Linked DNA regions of Neurospora crassa OR74A. The protein of the gene in region 1 interacts with the protein of each later gene in a pairwise test. Links are inferred from orthologs where the notes say so. Each region holds a gene or a part of one and is shown in the gene's direction. Other genes may lie near its edges.

Region 1 (10,241 bases):
TGGGAGGTTTTAGCAGCTGTCATTCAGTGTGCCTGCCGCCGCATACCTACACTAGTAAACGACGCGTGACCACCCCCAGGCGACGTCATTGTCTTACACCCTCTCTTTTAGGCCCCTTGTACGTGGTACGACGACTACAGGTTTCTTCCTATTTATTCCCTTTTGCTCATCCATCGTTTTCTTTTATAAAAGAGACCCTTCTCGACCTTCAAAACCTTCCACTTCTACACCTTACCCATCTTCCTGCAAGACGATATCGAAAAAGTTGATCAAGACTCCTCTCAGTTGTCTCACTACGACCCACTCCTCACGAACCATCAAGACAAGTCATAACATCAAGACCATCACAATGGCCGGCGGCGACGATCTCAGCAAGAAGGAAGTCAACATTCTTCCCCACGACACCCAGAAGGACGAGCAAGTACGTTACCATTTCCTCCCTAGTCTGGTGCCTTGTGTGAATCACAGAAAACAGAAAACTGACTCTTTGGCCAAACAAATAGAAGAACCCCAACAACCCCCTCAACAAGCTCGCTGATAGTGCCAAGGCCACGTTCGAGCAGGCGTCAAAGGCCATGCCCGGTCCCGCCATCTCGCAGAACATCGGCGGCGAGGAGGGCACCAAGGAGGAGCGCAGGGCCAAGGCCGAGACGCTCAACAAGTAAAGATATGGACTCGGACAAACAGGGGAATGGATGGAATGATTGCAATGACTGAATGATACACACACATACACATAACATAATTGAACTGTTTTGACAATTACTCTGATGGATCAGTCCTGTTGGAGCCTAAAGTGACTTTGGTGGTGGAATTGCGCCCAAATGAGAGGGGTCTGGTCCTCGAAAGTTGTCTCAAATGGGAGCAATGTTAGCATGTGAAGGTAGGTAGGTACTTTCATGTCATCCCATGTTCGTACATACCTACACTACTTTCATCCTATATCAACCTGAGCCATATAACCTCCAAATGCACATGGAAGTTGTTGTCATTGCCAGTTTCAACATGTCCCTCAAACACCCAGCTCTCGGAGGAACCGTCTCGTTGGACATCCATCATCACGGCGGGCAAGCGAAAGGTCGGCTGTGCAAGCGGCGGGCGGGAATAGTGGAGGGGTTCAGTTGAGGGATAGGTACCCACTGTTAGTGGACACGGACAATTGACGCCCTATCCACCCCCGGCACAATGTCATGACGCTATCTGGTTCATGTCCACAAGTTGGTCGCTTCCCGTCGGAAATTGGTCATTGTGGCTTGCTGGGGTTTCGTTGCCATCCTGATTCCATTCAGTCAAAGCCAAACAGCCCGGTCGTTGCCGCCGCCGTAGTGATGCAACTCCCAATCCCCGTACATAGTGTAGTTAAGTAGTGTACACTCACTGCATGCCTAAGGAACCTCTTGCCAGGTACACCCGCAATTCAACTTCCTTCTTGTCTACCTTGCAATGGGACTTGCTCCTCTCTCTGTAGTCTGTACAGCTTTAATACATTGAATTTTCACGGCAGATTATAACTAAGCTTGCCAACTGAAGGCTGCTGGATCATTGTCCGAGGTACGTTATTCCCAGCCTGCCGCCGTCTCTTCTACTCAGTATCTGCTTTTGCTCCTTTCAGTCATTGGACATCCGGGCGGCCGAGTCTTCCTTATTCCTCCCACCAACCACCAAACATCCGTGCCTCCAATACCCAGACCTACCTCTAGCTAACCGGCAACTTCCATTGTCTCTTCTAGGCTTCCGTCAACTGCTTTTATTCCTACGCGGCAAGGCCACGGAAGCGCGGAGCTTTACTTTATCTTGTACCGACAAGATACTTGGCCGTCGATAACAAGCGCCAACGACCCGAAAAGCATTAATACGACATCCCACTTCCGACTTGCTACCTCACCCTTCGGTCGACGTTGCCCCCCTCCCCTCGCCGACCGACCCGCCGACCGGATCAAGGCACGACGACTCAGCTTCATAACAGTACCTCTCGGCGCTGCGCCCGCCGGCCGAGTCCTTCTACCGAATTTCCGCATAACGACTCCCAATCTATCCATGCTTTGCTCCCCCTGGACGATCTAAAGGGGACGACAGGCCGCAACCTACCTCAAGCCACTTCCACGCTTCCACCCCCCATATATATTCACGATGCCGTCCATCCTCAGCGACGACGACAAGGAAACGGTCAAGCGCTGCGTGCCCAAGCAGACCAACAAGATCCACGCCGTCGCCGTCGCCAGGCTCTATGTAGCCTACCCCAACCCGTCCAGATGGACCTATACCGGCCTCCAGGGTGCCGTCGTTCTGGCAAATGATCTCGTGGGCAACACATATTGGATCAAGATGGTTGATATCTCGGTAAGTGTGAAAATGACGATTGCGTGGCTGGCCACCATTTGGCTGACATCGGACAGCCCGGAAACAGGGGAGTGATATGGGACCAGGAGATCTTCGACACTTGGAACTACAACCAGGACCGTGTCTTCTTCCATACCTTCGAGCTTGAGGAATGCCTGGCTGGCTTGTCCTTCGTGGACGAGAAGGAAGCCAAGCAGTTCCTCAAGAAGATGAACGACAGGGAAAAGAACGCCAGCAAGGCTACCAGCAAGACACCTTTCGGAGGCGCATCCCAGGCACACCACCACAAGCACCACGGTCTTTTCGGCGGTCTGTTTGGAGGACATAAGCACGCGTCTCCGACAGCCACCCCGCCCGAGTCGCCACGTGCCGCTGCACCGGCAGGCCGTATGAGAGCTGGAAGCACTAATGGAATAAACGGATACAAGCCTCCTTCCGAGTTTGCGACCCTGGATGCTTTCGATCCCCTGTGGAGGGAACACTTCGGTGACGACCTCAAGGCCCAAGGCCTCGACGACGACTTCATCCGCGAAAACCAGGACTTTATCATTGAGTTCTTGAAACAGGAGCAAGCGAAGCAGGGTATACACACGAGCACTCCTCCGCCGCCGCCGCCGCCGCCATCCGCTCCTCCTAATGGTCCCGCAATGAGAGCTCCCCCACCACCTCCTCCTGCTGCTGCTCCGCGCAGTGTCTCCGAGTCGATAACTCCATCGACCTCTAGGAGAGGGCCAGTACCCCCGCCTCCCCCTCCAGCAAGGAGATCCGGCAAGCTCGACACGGAAAACCACCAGGAACCGGCCCCTCCGCCGAGATTTGCTGTTCCTCCTCCCATCGCCGATGCTGGCAAGTTTGCCCACTCTGATCCCCCGCGACATACGCCCTCTGCGCCTGGACCTCCACCACCTCCCCGGCCGCCGAAGACGCCACTCGAAGATCAGGACCCGAGCCAGAGGTTCAGCGTTCCTCCGCCATTCACAGGCCAACGAAGTGTACCCCCGCCGCCTCCCAGCCGTAGCTCTGTTCCTCCGCCACCGCCCCCGAGAAATTCAGCTGCGCAACCTCCTCTGCCTCCCAAGGCACCGGGACCAGCACCTCCCCTCCCGCCTGCGAGCTCACGGCCGCCCCCCATGTTGCCAACTAGAAGCCCGGCACCACCGCAGGCACCGCCTCTCCCGACCTCGAACGCGCCACCTCCGCCGCCTTTACCGGCCACCCAGGCGCCTCCACCACCTCCCCTTCCCGCAACCAGCGCGCCTCCTCCGCCACCACCGGCACCGCCAGCACCTCCGGCGCCCCCTCTACCCGCAGCACATGCTCCCCCGCCGCCGCCTCCCATGCCACCCATGCCCGCACCATCAGGCGGCGCACCGCCTCCGCCTCCGCCTCCTCCACCGGGTGGTATGGGTGGTGTCCCTCCCCCTCCTCCTCCCCCTCCTCCAGGTGGTATGCCTCCACCGCCCGCCCCTGCCTTGCCACCTGTTGACGGCAGTCGTTCGGCCGTGTTGGACGGCATCAAGACCGCGGGAGGTATCAGGGCGTTGAAGAAGGTAGACAGAAGCCAGATTCGCGATCGTTCCGGTGCTGCTGTTCCTGGTGGCTCCGATAGTGGGCCCGCAAGCAGTGGATTGCCGCCCGCTGGAGCTGCGCCGGGTGGCGGTGGTGGAATGGCGGATGCGTTGGCGTTGGCGTTGCAGAAGAGAAAGGAGAAGGTTAGCAAGAGTGGTAAGTATCTGGATTATCCCTGGCTTGTGAAGTGTGAGAGCATGTCGAGAATGATGCTAACACTGGTGGAAAAACAGATGATGAAGATGATGGTGATGATTGGGACTAAGTGCCCGATACCAACAATGACACGGTGAAGAGCCACCGGAAAACAACAAGGTTCCAAGTAGGAGAAGAGTGCAAAAGGAATGAAAAGCAAGACTGGAGAGACACCGATATCCAACCATCATCCATTCATCTGGTCGTTATTTGGCCATAGAGGAGATGATGACGGCGAGGATGGGCCGTTGCTGGAACAGGAGGAGGAAGAAGAAGAAGGAGAGGAAGGGGAAGAGGAAAGCTGAGGGGTGGAAGGAAGGAAGGAATGAAAGAAAGGATGCAGTGTCGTTGCATACTATATATATATATATAGCTTCACCGTATTTGGAAATATTCACACCTCGTCACTGGTGTTTAACAAGAAAACAAAAGAAATGCAAAATTATACTTTTTTTTTCCACTTTCAGAAATACTATACCAGCTTTTTATTCTCTGTTTCCCATCTTAACTTGATACTCTTCAAAGACAGCGGCGAGTGCCTGAAGAGGTTTCATTGATATATATGTATCTTGAAGATTACTTACTTACTTACCTACCTACCTAGGACTGTTTGACAGTGTTTTGTATTGGAAAAAAGGAAAATACTCGGTCGCGTGACTACAGTAGTTGCCGCTTTCAACAATTTCAATGTTCCTGAGTCCCGAGTTTCTTATGCTGCTGCTTTCCGAGAGCTACCTACGGACCAGTAATTACTTCGTCACTTGGGTTTGGTTTAGTCTCATAGAAACAATTTGAATAAGGGGGAGACGGACAGCTCCGAAACATCGTAGAAGAAGTGTTGGTCATATATCGAACAACTGGACCAGGATAAGCATAAATAGTGAAGAGTAGGACATCTCGGCGGTTCTCTTCTAGTGAGGTTGATGGAATGTTGTTACAAGCAAGACTTTTACTGGGCGGTGCGGGCGGGTCTTGCAAGGAGCAAGAAGAGGAACGAAAAATGATATATGTACATAGCCGGATGGGGACTTGAGCGAGGAGGGGATGAAGAGGTGCTGTTTAACACATGTTGCGTCTTGTCCTCGAGTAGAACAAGGACGTGCTTTGGCTCTTACAGGGTCACATTCCAGTGACCGACAGACACATCTCGCGTGAACCGAGAAGCCTAGTAATGTGTGATCGTACCAAAATACCATTTCCTAGCTCGAGAGAGGGAAAAAAAAAAAGAAAAAGAAACCAGACATGAGAGAGCCCCCTAAAAGAACATAAAAGACGTTTATGACAAAGCCATCCTATCATAAAAACAGCCTAACCCCTTTTAATATCCCAGAGTGCACGTAACCATCCTCTTTTCATTGCGGATGGATCGATGCTCTTTATGTCCTTCGCCCCCCCTTTTTTTAACTTTTTTACTCTGCCAGCCTTCCTCCTTCGTTCTGCCTGGTTGTAGGACCTCGAGTCCCGCAAACCAACTAACCGGACCCAGGTAAATGACGTCCCTCCCACCATTGTACCTGGCTCCGATTCTCCTCCTCCTGATTTTGTTCGTAAGATTTGTTTCTTGTCTTGTTACCGGAAAAACAAGGAAATAATAGGCACACCAAACTGTCGGGGAACCAAACTGGCTGCTGCTGTTAACGGTTATGGTTGATGGGTTGAAAAAAAAACGTGGGCTGGCTGCGTACGGCCGACACACACCGAAAACAGAGACCACCAGAATGGTTTGAGAGAGAAGACAGCTTTTTTGGACTTTCCTGGACGACCCCTTTACTTCCTGGCCAGACCCTTTGGGGATACCGACTTGGAGAGAAGGACGTAAAAGGGAGTGGATAGGAAGAAGGGGGAAGTTGGGAAAGGGTGGCGTTATTTCGCATGTTTCGGTAACAATTTGGTGTTTGTTGCCTCTTTTCCTCTTAGGTGCCGAGAAGAATGAGGCGACGATATGGTGTTGAGAAGGCAACGACACGTTTAGATGTCGTCGATATCAACGGCCTTGCCACCGGCCTCGGCGCCATCCTCCTCCTCGGAGTCACGGTCCTCGTCGAACTCGAAGCCGCAGTCGCCGTCCTCGTTGGGGCCGAAGGTGTCGGTCTCGTTGATCTTGGCGGTGTCGGGAAGCTCGCCGTAGGCCTTCCTGTTGATGGGCGAAGCAGGTGGTTAGTAGGGCTGTTGTTGACAGCACGGAGAGCGGAAGGGAAAAAAAAAAAAAAACGTACAGAGAACGGGCCTCGTCGGCAGAGTACTTGAGGATAACATCACCCTTCTCATCCTGGTACTCACGGAGGGAGACAAGGATGATGTCACCGTTGTTGATCCAGATCTTCTTGCGAAGCTTGCCGCGGATGAGACCGAGGCGCTTGACACCGTCGAAGCACTGAAAGCGGGGCAAAAGTTAGAATGTATGTTATGCTTGTAGGTAATCGAACGAGGGAGGGGTGGAAAGGACATACCATAGCCTCGAGTCTGCCGTTACCCAGCATCTTGATGACCTGAGCGTACTCTGCAGGGGAAGACATGTGTGAGCTTGTTGTTCGTTTGCTGTTGTTGTCGAGAGGCATGGGCGAGCGTCGATGTCGCAGGTTTTTGCTGTGTGCTGTGTGCGTTTCGCTTGCTCGCCACACCGGGGTGTTCACGTACCTTGACCCTCCTCCTTGAAGGTCAACTCGCGCTTCTCATTGCTGTTCAAAGTGGTTAGCTATATGATGAAGAAGCAAGGACTATGGTATGCGACTCTGTCGACGACGAGCTAGTATGCGCGCGCATCGCCATGGTGCTTGGTAGTGGCGGCGATGCGGGGCGGCGCGATGGGTCTTGGTCGTCGTCGGCGGGCGGGCAACACCAGGCAAAAAGAGCTGGGAAAGATAAAAAAAAAAATCCTTACTCGTTCTCGTTCTTTCCTCTTCTCCTGTTCTTACCACCCTTTCCCTTGTTCTTAGGCATGTTGGCTGTTGTTGTCGACGACTACGGGTGTCGGCTGGCCGGTGTAGGTGCGGTGTGTAAATTGGGTGTTGATGCGAGAAGAAAGACAAAAATCCAGCAACGGCTGCGTGGAGTGGATGACGGACTTGGTTGGGGGTCAAGAACTGTGCTGGAGCACTGGAGGAATGGCGGGTTCTGGGTACCCGTCTTTCACACGCCCGCCGTGAAACGAAAGCAAGGCGTTTTGGTATTGTCGATGTGGAGAATCTTTGATACGGACTTGGGAGAGAAATCATGGAAGGTGGGCTACTTGTAGGGCAAAATGGGCGAAAAGGGGTGGCTCGGACCTTGTGCTGACGAATCAAAAGGTCCAAAGCGCAGGCAAAATGGTGCAGTTGAGTCATGGCGGACTTGCGCAGTTCTTTCGGCTGTTGCATAATTATCACATAATACTGTGTATGCCCGTGGATGTGGGTGGCTGATTTTGGACCAAATTTGCTCAGTACGGTAAGGTAATACTGGTAAAATACTTGTGACAACGGCAACCGCACGTCTGATTCTCACCCACCACGGCTGTGTCTTCATCCACCGTCAACATGATGTTCGATTATTTGCCCATCAGCGCCAAACTTTCAAGTCACTACAGAGTTGCGCGCAGCCGACTGGCCATTTTCCATGTCCTTGCCTTCCATCCCAAAGCGTGCCACTTCAGCTGCTGGCCTTGTTGACTTGGCGTCGACTATCAAGACCAGATGGCGACCCTTACGCCCTCTGATGCTCAGAGGCTGTGATCAACGGCGAGGCAAGGGCATGAAGGCCAAGATCCCAGAAGATGCGGCGCAAGGATACGGCTACACTCAGCTGAATTGGAGTCCTTATAGTGAGCCGGTACTATCGAAAAGAGTCAAGGCCCTGTCCGACGCGCTAAATATTGGAACTTATTACGACGTCAAGGCAGTCAAAGGGCAGGATCTTGCCAATGCTCCGTTCATGGTCTCGACGGCCACGAAGCATTGCTATACGAGACAGTCGGTCATGAAGTACTTTGGTGTAGGAGAACATCCTTTGACAGACATGTTCCTCCACCATTACACCTCCAAGAAGCACCGACCATTATGGTTGTTTGTCTACAACGGTGACGCCGACCTTCGTCCCGTAGTGAAGACCGTGTGCGTGAACAGGTTGAGACAGGCTGTCCACAAGGCTCTCAAGGCGAATGGATATGGCCAGTGGGGGGATCGATTGCCGGGATTCGACGACACATCGGTGCTTCACGGCACCATTCATGTTCGCATCTCACACGGCAAGGAGTTCATCCAGATGAGCGACCACGAGATCCATGACGCGCTTGACAAACTGATGAAGAAGCATATCATCAAACAGCTCCAAGTCCCACAATGGCCGATACAGGCTCAGCCTAGGCGGGTTCGTGTTGGCGAACAGTCCCCTCAACACAAAGGATCTAGCGTGCCACCTCAAAACAGAGGATACAGCGATCAGCTGCAACAACGTGGCTCAGGGCAGCCGAGTGCTGGAAGTTACAGAAACACCAGAGAGACAGCACAGACCGACATGCGTGCTGGCAACCGGGTTTCGGAGCCAAGGGCGAGGGATGGGAGTATGAAAGGAGACGGATCCAGTTCCCGTGTACAACAGCTTGCCGAACGGTTCCGAACCCGTCAGCAAAATCCAGGATCGAAGTAGGACTTGGGGACAGATGAAAGGTGGGCGCTTGGTAGACTCTTAAGAGCAAACGCAAGTTGAGTGTCGACTTCGCCGAGGGGTCTCTTTGTAGCCAGCTGTCTACCTCTACAGCATATAGAGTAACAGTAAGAGGACGTCGGAAGGATGTAACGCACATTGGAAGCGATCAGTACTACTAAGATACCTACCTTTACTTGGGGAACCAAAGAAGCCGTTCACAACAACACCCAAACCTGATATTCGAACACCACCAAGAGCTTCAGAAGTGGAAAAGATACGTACCTTTTGGAGTGGAACCATTCAGGGGAAGCATCAAAGTCTTGGCGCCAAGCACAGGCTCCCGTCGAGGTGTGCGTTTCCGGCCAAGACTCCACATTTCCCGTCAACAAGGGAGCTGCTCCAGGGAGGTTCAGCAGCACTGGACAGCCCGTCGCTGGCAGTCAGGGAAGCTCCAATTGAGGTCCAGTTCAGGCAATGCCCTGAATGCCCTGCCCGTGAGATTTGGCGACAGCTTGCTTCCCGTCCCTTAGGTTGCTCCTTGGCTCGAGTACACTACCTTAGGTACCTCTACTGTATGAACAGCTCCAGTACAGTATCACAAACGGAAGACAGGAATCAACCAACCAAGCGGAAGTCAACCACTCGAGATTCCGCCAGGGCAGCAGCTATCATCTGCAGCTTTCCAAAGAGGCCACACAGCACTTGAAATCCCCGGTCGAAGCTGTAGCTACCTACCTAGTAGTCTACACATCTTCCCAAGCTTGACGACCTACTTACCTCTCTCTACCTACCAACAATCCGGCCACATCCCCATCGCGAGCCATCATGCTCGTCTCCCTGACCGTCGGCAAGGTCGACGCCGGCGTCACCGTCCTCCTAACTCCGGACAAGCGACTGGTATGTTTGGTTCCAGCAGTGACCCCCAGTCAAGGAACAAGACAAGTGTTAATCTCACCTTCTGATGCCAGATCGAGTTCCCCTCCATCCTCCTGCCCCCCGACATCTCCTCGGGCTCCATTGTCGACGTCACCGTTGCCCGCAACGTTGCCTCAGAAGACGAAGCCGAACGCGCCTTCCGCGCCCTCCAAGACAAGATCTTCAACGCCCTCGGTGCTGCCGAGCCCAAGGCTCCCAATCTGCGCTGTCGCAATGCCACCCAGACCAGCGTCGTCCTCGAGTGGGACCCCATCGATCTCGCAACCGCCGACCTGATCAGCCTGGCCCTCTATCGCAACGGCCAAAAGGCCGGCAACATTCCCAAACCCACCGCCATGCACTCGACCAAGATTTCGGGCTTGGCCGTCGACACCGAGTACACATTCCACCTGGTGCTGCGCACAACGGCCGGCACCCTGGCCAGCGACAAGGTCGTGGTCCGCACACACAAGATGACGGACCTCAGCGGCATCACCATCACCACGGGCATCCTCCCTCCCGCACTCAGGGAGTCTCTGGCCCGCTCGGTCGACCGGATTGGCGCCAAGCTGGTCGACACCGTTCGAATCGATACGACA
Region 2 (10,026 bases), on another chromosome or scaffold:
TAGGAGCTGCTTGTCTTTCAGCTACCTTTGGGCAATGGTTGTACTTTCTTCGTAGCACAGCATGGCTCGAATTCGCTCGGTCGTCTCGCACTTGTGAAGTCCATCCTGTTTTTCCTGTTTTCTTCTGTCTTTTTCTTTTTTTCTCTTTTTTTCCACCGGATATGCCGTACGATGAAGGTGCGAAGCTAGAACAGTTCGACGGATAATGCGGAAGGAAGAACCCTCATGGCTCTCCACTCCACGATCCGACTTTGGCCCGCCTGATCGGTTGGTAGTATTTCGCTTGACTGGATAAAATTACTCATGTCTGCTACATCCAAAGGACTTATAAAGATATCGATTAACAAAAAGTAGAAAGAAAACCCGTCCCAACGGTGTTGTCAGTGGTAGTGTTCACATACGCAAATACGACAGGAAAAAAGAGAAGCAACAAGGTTGCAAGTTGGCATGCCAAGCACAACTTGTACCTGCAGGGTTTAGGGTGGCAGGAACCCGCTAAAGCTTGTCACTATCGATCACTACGGCCCGTTTGGGCTTAGATAACCGGCGGTCTTGGCTGATCTGGATGTTTGCGATCACTGATCCTTGTCGTCTTGGCCAAGTAAGTCCCGCTCAAACCACCGGCTGTGGGCAGGGAGACCCCGCTGACGCAGTGCGTTTCCTCTTCAATTCGGTGGTCGCGGAGCTACAGATCAACTTCACCACCCTCCACTCCTCCACCATTTGCTATTCTCCTACCGGTCCGGATTCCGTATCACCCGTAGAGTACCTCTACATACACACGATTAAAGTCTCATTTTGTCTTCTTCGTGTCACATACAAACATACGAGGAATAGCAGTGCCTCAGATTCAGGTACCTGTGGTTCACACCCCCGGGACCCAGCCGCCTACGAACTCTGCGAAACGGCTGTCTTCTTCCCGCTCTTGCGCCAGCCTCTCTTTTACGACGGTTTTACCCACACTCACACACCACCTAACCCGTCAAAACGAGCGACCGCAAAAGCTATCTCCGACGTTTTTCAACTACGACGGATGCGAGCGGAGAGCCACTTACGTACGACCAACGACTCCATTGACCTCCTTGATCTCGATCCGCCCGTTCCGCCCGCTTCCTTCTCCCATTCAACTACAAACAAACGGAGAAGAAAAGAGGGACTGAGCCATCAAACCCAACTCGACCTTCACCATGGGGCCGGCTAGCGTTATCATCCTCTGCATCTTCCTCGCAGTGGTGGCTGCCGCCATCTTCTATGTCCTAATCTCGCGCGCCCAAGCAACACGTCTCGGGGTATGTTGTCCGTCGGGTTTCAACATCGCCTGCTCTTTCGAATCTGCGATGGCGAATTCCAATCTTTTCTATGAACGAATCATGATTGGCAACATAACTAACATCATGTTTCCAGCTCCCTCCACCACCCCTCACCTCATACATCCCTTTCTGGCCCGAGCCCTCAAACTCCCTTCCCTATGCCAACAACACCTCTTCTTCTTCCGGCGGTATTAAGGGCTGGTTCGGAAAGTTCAAGAAGAACAACAATCGCACTGCAGCTGGTGCCTACGAGCCTTCCGGTGCTAACGCTAACGCCGCCCGGAGCCGCGGCTTCGGACCCCTCGACCCAGATGAGGCATGGGATGCGCGTGTTGGACAAGAGGCTGATGGCTATGGACCTGCATACTATGAGGAGACGGAAATGCAGCCCTCTCGGCACAACAACCTTGGCGATGATACGAGCTACGGAGGAAGGAGCTACCAGATGAACCTGGCGACCAACCCCGGCAACAGTCAGCCTGGCACCGGCACTGGCACTAGCAACCCGTTCGCAGATCCCGAGGAAGAGAGAGGTAGAAGGAGAAGCCGTTCTCCTGGCCCGGCTGCGAACAAGGGCTTGAGTGTGTCTGCCCCCCAAAACCCGTTCGACGATGCTGCCGCGGATCACACCAACGTTAGCATGAGAGGCGTCAGCCCCCGTCCGATCGAGGGCACGGGAGCCTCAAAGCCGAGTGGTCACAACAATGGCGAGCCTGAGACCCCAGTGGAGAGGAGGTCTATCTTCAGAGAGGATGTATGAAGTGATGACCGAATGAATGATTGACACCGTGGGCAGCACAACGAAAGGGATAAGAAAAACAATTCTCGGCTTTCTGATCACGAAAAGCACGAGGTATGGTCTACTGGGGGTGTTATAGGCGCGGCTACATGATTCTGGCATGGACGTGTCTTTACGAGAAAGAGGTGTCCGTGTAACTATTAACGGATATCACTATGCTTTTACGCAAAGATGCGGCATGGGCAACATTTGGATTTGGGTGGTTCGTCATTTCTGGGAAAGGCGGCTAGTTGGGAGTTGGGGCACGGCTCTTTTTCTATCAGTGTTCGATTACTGCCGCAAGAGTTACTTGAAAATGAGAAAGGCCATACGAGAAGCAACCCACCAATCGTCAGTATTATTCAATGGGTTGAGAATGCCCAAGCACGTCAAACGCGGAAACCTGTGGCTGGTAAGGGAGGATCTTCATGACGACCGACCAAGTATTCACACAGACCGAACGACCACCTAACTTTCCAGCACGCCCACTTTTTCAAGAGTTAAGAGGGAATACATATGATGCATCCCGTATTCGATTGCGACGCCATAATATCCTTTCATTCCGGTCTTCCCTCGTGCGTTATCAGTCTTGCGGCCGTCCAATGTCTCCCTCGGGATACCGGATGGTGGGATGAAACCGGAAAGAGAACATGTTTTAAGACCCCACTTCCGCCGCATCCCGCCCCACCCTCGCCGAGCTGGCCGAGCCCCTGACGGGACGGACCATCACACCATGACATGGAAGCTTAGCTGTTTCTCCACCTCCCCCGCGCATGCCATCTTGTAGCTTATGTACCCCCGAGTTCTGAGAGCTTATAACCAACAAGGTTCTCCTTCTAATATACCAATTCCATTGACACTTGGTCAACTATAAAAACAAAGCTGTTCATCTATATATAAGCTCCTTCATACGACGCCGTTGTCATTTAGTATTGTCCTTCACTGCTATACTATATTTCGAATATCTAATAACAACGGCAACCACCATCACCATGCCCGACATCAACCTTCAAGAGATCCATGACACTCTCGTGGAGGTCGCCTTCGAGGCCGGCCGCATGATCCTCGCCGCCAACCCCAACAACATTGACAAGGGTTCGAAGATGAACTGTGTGTGCCTTTCCTTGTCCTCCGACTTCTTCCCCAGCAGTCACCTACTCATCCTCGGCAAGCAACCTCAACTACCTTGACTAACAACCCTTTTCCCTTGCTCAACAGCCGCCGACATTGTCACCGAAACCGACCAAGCCGTAGAGCGTATGGTCTCCACCACTCTCCGCTCCAAATACCCCTCCTTCTCATTCGTCGGCGAAGAGACCTACGTCGCCGGGGAAACCAAAGTCACCTCCGCCCCGACCTTCATCGTCGACCCCATTGACGGCACCACCAACTTCGTCCACGGCTACCCGCACGGCTTCTGCATCTCGCTCGGCTTCGCCCTCGACCGCCGCCCCGCGGTGGGCGTTGTCTACAACCCCGCTCTCGATACGCTTTGGACGGCCACCAAGGGACAGGGCGCCTACTGTCAGCGCAACGCCTCTCTCGAACCAGGAAAGGGACAGGGGCCAAAGCAAAAGTTGCCGCTGAATGGGGGCCAGCCGCTAGGAGACCTTTCCACGGCCCTGGTGGCGGTCGAGTGGGGTAGTCAGCGCGAGGGAAAGAACTTTGATATCAAGACCAGGGTGTTTAGACAGTTGACGGCTGCCAAGGAGAATGGCGGGTGTATGGTGCACAGCTTGCGCAGCTTGGGCAGCGCGGCCTTGAACATCTGCGCAGTGGCGGCTGGTCAGGTCGATATGTACTGGGAGGGCGGGTGTTATGCGTGGGATGTGACGGCGGGGTGGTGTATTCTCGAGGAGGCGGGTGGAATTATGGTTAGTGCAAACCCGGGGGATTGGAACCCGGAGTTGGATTCAAGGTTGTATTTGGCCGTCAGGGGAGCGGAGAGCGGACAGAAGGAGATTGTGGAGGAGTTTTGGGGGGTTGTTGGGGATGACAGGATGGAATATAAGCACTAATGGTTGGTGAACATGACGCGGTTTTGGGTACGGGCTTAGGTTATCAGGCATTGGGTCAAGTAATAAGCAGGCATATTGGATTTGGAAAGATGTCGACTAGATGAGTTAAGGCTATCGTTAGAAGGGTTGGATTGGGGTGCGATATCCGGGAAAGGGTCGTTCGCCCGTCAGCAATGTGAGTGACAGCTGCATCACGGTCCTATGGCCGATCAAGAAGAAAACTGAAGGTGATTTCGTTCCTTGATGTGTGAAGATGTGGCAAGGTACGTTGCAGAAAGGTTGATAAAGAAGGAAAAAAAAGAATTCGCATTTGATCCGACCCAGGCTCGATCTGGGGACCTTCAGTGTGTTAGACTGACGTGATAACCAACTACACCATCGGACCGTTGATGTGAATAAAGGTTTTCTGCGACTTTATGACTCATAAAGTTAGACATGTTTGATGCCATGGCCTGGAGTATTGCTATTCCTTTCAATGCTGGAAGGAATCGGCACCAACTGGTAGCTGAGCTGGTTGCTGTGGTTTACCTAGTGAGCATGTGCGCTTTATCTGTAACCTCTATAACCTGGACCACGCTGGTCGCTCACTGGGAAGAAACACAAACAGTTTGAATCCTCGAGTGCGTGGTTTCGAGTTTATAGCATGGACGTGAAGACGACGAACATCACATCATGCAGTTGACACAAGTTCAACGAGATGCCATTGTTTGGATGAAAAAGGGGCTCAGGGGCAGAGAGAAAGTGGAGACCCATGTACCTCGAAGCTACGGCAAGGCACAACAGCCATGTGCGCACATCGGGCCATCCCCCCGGTCCCGGTCATACTGCGAGGCATCATCCACCGACAACAAGAGACGGAGCTTGGACGTTGCAGCTGCCCTGGGATCCGCCTGACAACTTCCCACTGTAATCACACCGCGCTACGGGGCTGTACACTGGCAACAACCGACCCAACCTGACTTCCTCGAGATAACCTCAAACCCAATCGAACTTCATTTCCATTATCTAACATTGACCCGAGTATCAATCTCCACTTATTTCCGTGACCGTCTCGCTTAATCGAATCGTCAATTGCTCTCATCATTTCCAAGTCGGTCAATCAATCAGCGCTCCCGTCGACGACCGCATTACCACCGGACAGGAACCGGAAGCCGTTGCCCCCGGACTTAGGTTGCCGCTGCGATTCACGGCCCTTCAGCTTGAGAGGTAGCTGCTAGCCAAATTTCCAACCCACTTACACGCATATAATTACTACGAAGCCAACCGCGACAATGCCGCCAAAAATCGAAGCGCAGGAAATCGAGACGTACTGGAACATCTTCTCGGCGCGAACAAATGGCGGCAAGTTCCTGACGGGCGAGCAGGCGGCGCCGGTGCTGAAGAACAGTGGCCTGCGCGATGACCAGCTGGAGCGTGTTTGGGATCTGGCCGATGTGGACAATGACGGAAACCTTGATTTCGAGGAATTTTGTGTTGCGATGAGGGTCATCTTTGACCTTTTGAACGGGGTTCGTCTACCTCCTTCTGTCCTGAAGCTGCGAGCGAGCGAGCGAGCAAGCAAGCAAGCATGGGAGCAGTAATAGCAGCAGTATCAGAGAACTAACAGGGGGAGACGGTAACAGGAATACGCTGATGTCCCGACAACTCTCCCAGACTGGCTTGTCCCCGAATCTAAAGCCCACCTTGTGCAAGCGAACCGCGCGCTAACCGGCAAGGCGCCGAAATTCGAGCAAGTCGAAGATGAAGACGATACCCCCGGCTTGAAGGATGGGTTTGACTGGTACATGAGCCCGGCGGATAAGTCCAAGTACGAGCAAATCTATCAAGAGAACCGAGATATGCGCGGCGAGGTTTCCTGTATGTTTACATCCCTTCCTTTCCCTTCCCTTCCGGTCCCTAACCTCATACTAATCTACCTACCTACCCGCAGTCGCCGCCCTCCAAGACCTCTACGACTCCCTCTCCGTTCCCGACACCGACATCCGCTCGGCCTGGAACCTGGTCAACCCGTCGGCCTCCTCGACCATCAACAAAGATGCCTGCCTCGCCTTCCTGCACATCCTCAACTACCGCCACGAAGGTTTCCGCATCCCGCGCACCGTTCCCGCTTCTCTGCGGGCCTCGTTCGAGCGCAACAAGATCACATACAACGTCAACGACCCGTCGCAGTCGCGCTGGGCCCAAAAGGCCGACGATGAGACCTCTACCGGCCGCAAGGCCAAGTTCGGCGATCAGTACCTGACGCGCCTAGGCCGTTCCTCGTTCAAGACGGCCGGCACCGACTTCTCGTCCGAGCAGACGGACGATCAGTGGGAGGAAGTCAGGCTGAAGAAGCAGCTGGCGGAGCTGGACGAGAAGATGGCCAAGGTTGAGGAGGCGGCGAACCGTCGTAGGGGCGGGAAAAGGGATACAAAGCCGGCACTGGTCAAGAGGGAGCTGGAACAGCTGTTGGATTATAAGCGCAAGGAATTGAGGGACTTGGAGGAGGGTAAGGGGAAGGCGGCGGCTGGTGGGAGCCTGAAGAGCGTGGCGGATGATTTGGCGACGGTTAAGGAGCAGGTGGAAGGGCTGGAGGCGCATTTGAGGAGCAGGCAGGACGTGTTGGAGCAGTTGAAGAGGGAGATTGAGGAGGAGAAGGTTGGGAGGTAAGCTGTTGAGGGTCGGTACAGGGAGATGGGTTGAAGAGGTAGAGAGAGCGGGCTGTGATATTTTGCTGGGTTCCTCGAGGCGAAGACCATGGGCAGTTTGCCAGGACAGGAATGATTTGGGTTCATCGGTTACGTTTCATCTTTCTAAGACAGCATAATCTCTTAATGGCATTCAGTGGAGTAACAACAAGCTGCCTGATGGCGCATATCTTGACTGTGTAATTTTCCCAGGTGCTATGGTATATTACAATGAAAGGTATCATGTTGACTGTGCTTTTCAGGGGAATTTAAGCATCACAATCCACGCGCCTTTGCACTCAGCGCTTGTCTAAGCAACAACATGGTGGCTCTGCTTGTTGCCGCTAGAGGCTGTCGGGAAATGTGAAAGGAGTAGAATAGTTTGACCGTATAGATATCTTTTCGATTTCATCAGCGTGAAGAGGCATCGGAAATCCTAGTTTATGCCATTTCCAGTCTTATTCCACTGGTACCTTGATATACATGTCCTGCCAAATATGCAGGCACAAGCAATATGTTGCTTCGGAGTTGCTGTGGTTGGAACATCTCAAAAGGTACGAATGAATTGCATCTTCACATGGGCCCATCTGGATCATGTAATTACTGGTTTGAGCAGCTGAGTCCACGATAAATAAGCGTAAAGTGAGGCTGTCAGGTTGAAAATGAGTTGAAGAGGGTGTTGTGGATGCTATCGTAGGATCGATGAGTACACTAGTGGGGCAATGACGCTCATGGTCACATGGAAAAGCTTCCAGGGGAAAAAGACCCCTCTCCACCATTCGCTGTTGGACATTCCACAGCGAGTGTTTACCTAACTCCGCACTTTGGAGCCTGGAAGGTACCTACCCCGCCAATCCGGTTCCAGAGTTGCAATTCATCCCATCCTTGGATCCTCAACAAGTCGTGCTGTAGTCTAGGTACAAGGTGAAGGTACTTCGCATACTTAAAAGAACTGCCCTGCCTCAACCCTCAACCTTTTGAATTCTCGTCTCCTTTGCCTCCACATTTCCATCTTCTTCAAGTTCCATATATACCCATCGTACGTACGCGACGCGCAACTTGTATCTGTAACCACGTTCGAGTCTTTAGCTAACCCACAGATACCTCTACCACAGTAAACCAACTCACCCACCCCCAACAATCAAAATGTCTGCCGCTTTCGAGAAGGCCGTTGCCGATTCCAAGAAGCTTACTTCCAAGCCTTCCAACGAGGACCTTCTCGAGATCTATGGTGCGTCGCGTCACGTCCCACCCCACTCCCATATGTATGCTCTTTGCGCTGGCGGCGAACCACGAACCAGCCGAGGGCTATATTACCTACTAGTCTCTCGCGCGCGCAATCGAACAGAGCTGGAGCTCCAACAAAAACTCATGACTACGGGCAAGGCAGCAGTTAACTAACATTCTCTTCCAACCGTTCACAGCTCTCTACAAGGTCGCCACCGGCGCCGACTTCTCCAAGGCTGACAAGCCCGGCATGTTCGACCTGAAGGTTCGTTCCGTTCTGTCTTCCCGCTATTTATACCCCATTTCATCCCACCTCTATTCATCAGGCGTGCGCGCGTGCTCTGGTAGCTGTTGGTCAAATCACGAAACCTCCATTCATCCATGGCCCCTCCATAGCTGTCCCCTTCCTCCGCCCAGACACAGTAGCTAACACATTACCTCTTTTTCTTTACCAATAACAGGGCAAGGCCAAGTACAACGCCTGGCAGAAGGTTGTCGACGATGGCCTCTCGGCCGAGGAGGCCCAGACCAAGTACGTCGCCAAGGTCGAGGAGATGAAGACCCAGTACGGCTACGATGAGAACAAGGCCCCCGAGGCTGTTGGCTCCAACTAAGGAGTTTAGATACCCCGTTGAGCTTATAATATAATGCCCTTTACAAAGACCGAAGAGTGTTCGAGGCCATGTTTGCACGCGGTCTATCTGTATGTGGAGTCTAGTCGGTGATGGGAAGTGGTGAAGGCTCTTGTGGTATGATGGAAGCCGTAGTTGCACAATCACAAGAGACGGATGTCGTGTCGATCTTTGTCTGGACCAAAACACTCAGGAAGATGCTGCTGAGGTCTTGACAACAATGGAAATATCAAGTATCGAGGTACGCAGTTCAAGCCACCTATGTCGTGTATATGTCCAGATCTGCAAACGAGAAATATCCCCGTTTCCTGCGGGTTCAGTTACACTACATTAGAAACGTCTGTAATATCCCGTCTATACAAGACATGACATGATGTGACCGCTTGAGCCGCGTGTGGAATCACATCCACACGAGAGGAAAGCGGAAGGGGTATCAATTACCAAACAGGAAGGCTGTGCCGTCCTATACTGACCACATACTTGTAGGCTCATCAAGAAGTTCATTTCAGGGGCAGATTAACCACCCACATCAATGGACTGATCAGCTGCGTACCATTTCCGCAACTCATCCATGCCGCCAAACCTGCCCCATCCAGTCTGGCTCCAAGTGGTTCGCCGTGGCAACCCAAGGCACTTCTTGCAGCCCGTACCTCTGCAACGGGAGGTTATATGGCATCCGCAATCCTACCACCACCGTCGAAGACTTTTCCTCCTTCTCATCATCTCCCTTACCATCCTTCTCGCCGTTCCTGCTAGTTGACGTAGGACCCTGCTTCTCCCCCAATGAAGACGGTCTATCTTTTTCACTGCCATGAATCGCAGGGGTATCTTTGAGAAAAGTAGGTACCATAACCGCCTTCTGTCCCATTTTGCTGCCACTACTAGTACCATCACTATCCGCAAACAACTCCGGCCACACCAACACGCCAATCTCGTAAGAACAGATATGCACCTGCGGCTCTCCCGCATTGTTCTTGCTCTGCGCGTCGCCCCACGCTTGTTTAGAGAGGTTTGCTGACGTAAGGAGGGCCCAATCAATAGTGTTTTTAGTCTTGTGGTTAGCGAAGCGGATAAAGGTTTTGATGTGGGGGGCGGCGCGGTTGCGGCCTGCTTCGCGGATGGGGGTTGTAGTAGTCGTACCAACTCCATCGGCCGAGTCGTTCGCCCAGTGACAGAACATGGGTCTCAGATATTGGAGCTGCTTGGCTTGTTGAGCTGACTGGATCTTGGTATGGATGGAACCACCGGATGCGTAACCGTCGAGTGACTTCCTGATCTCGTCCGGCGTGGGGAAGATGATCTTGAAGTCTGGCTTGGGCTTCGACGACAATAGGGTTTTGGGGCCTTGGGAACCGCTGAGCGCTTCAAAAAGGGTGTTTTTGAGCCAGTTGTCTG

What was found.
Region 2: the proteins of NCU07438 (region 1) and NCU06347 interact in binary tests that used the Saccharomyces cerevisiae proteins (3 or more experiments, as listed by UniProt). The link is inferred for Neurospora crassa OR74A from reciprocal best matches to the Saccharomyces cerevisiae genes LAS17 and END3.

The regions. Positions count from the first base shown.
Region 1 is NC_026501.1:625,023-635,263, forward strand, and holds NCU07438 (WASP-like protein las17p), read left to right. Parts: upstream 1-1,329; 5' UTR 1,330-1,551; intron 1,552-1,730; 5' UTR 1,731-2,130; coding exon 2,131-2,340; intron 2,341-2,396; coding exon 2,397-4,065; intron 4,066-4,142; coding exon 4,143-4,174; 3' UTR 4,175-4,565; downstream 4,566-10,241. Other genes in the region: NCU07439 (hypothetical protein), read left to right, coding at 350-421, 504-665; NCU07437 (eukaryotic translation initiation factor 1A), read right to left, coding at 6,073-6,238, 6,321-6,478, 6,555-6,604, 6,742-6,782, 6,986-7,044; NCU07436 (hypothetical protein), read left to right, coding at 7,699-8,727; NCU07435 (chitin biosynthesis protein CHS5), read left to right, coding at 9,553-9,624, 9,696-10,241.
Region 2 is NC_026504.1:2,819,798-2,829,823, forward strand, and holds NCU06347 (actin cytoskeleton-regulatory complex protein end-3), read left to right. Parts: upstream 1-4,966; 5' UTR 4,967-5,377; coding exon 5,378-5,614; intron 5,615-5,728; coding exon 5,729-5,963; intron 5,964-6,036; coding exon 6,037-6,755; 3' UTR 6,756-6,968; downstream 6,969-10,026. Other genes in the region: NCU06349 (hypothetical protein), read left to right, coding at 1,188-1,289, 1,405-2,070; NCU06348 (myo-inositol-1-monophosphatase), read left to right, coding at 3,081-3,198, 3,307-4,106; NCU06346 (hypothetical protein), read left to right, coding at 7,919-8,003, 8,197-8,264, 8,461-8,613; NCU06345 (tyrosyl-DNA phosphodiesterase), read right to left, coding at 9,197-10,026. UniProt on the Saccharomyces cerevisiae protein: Component of the PAN1 actin cytoskeleton-regulatory complex required for the internalization of endosomes during actin-coupled endocytosis. The complex links the site of endocytosis to the cell membrane-associated actin cytoskeleton.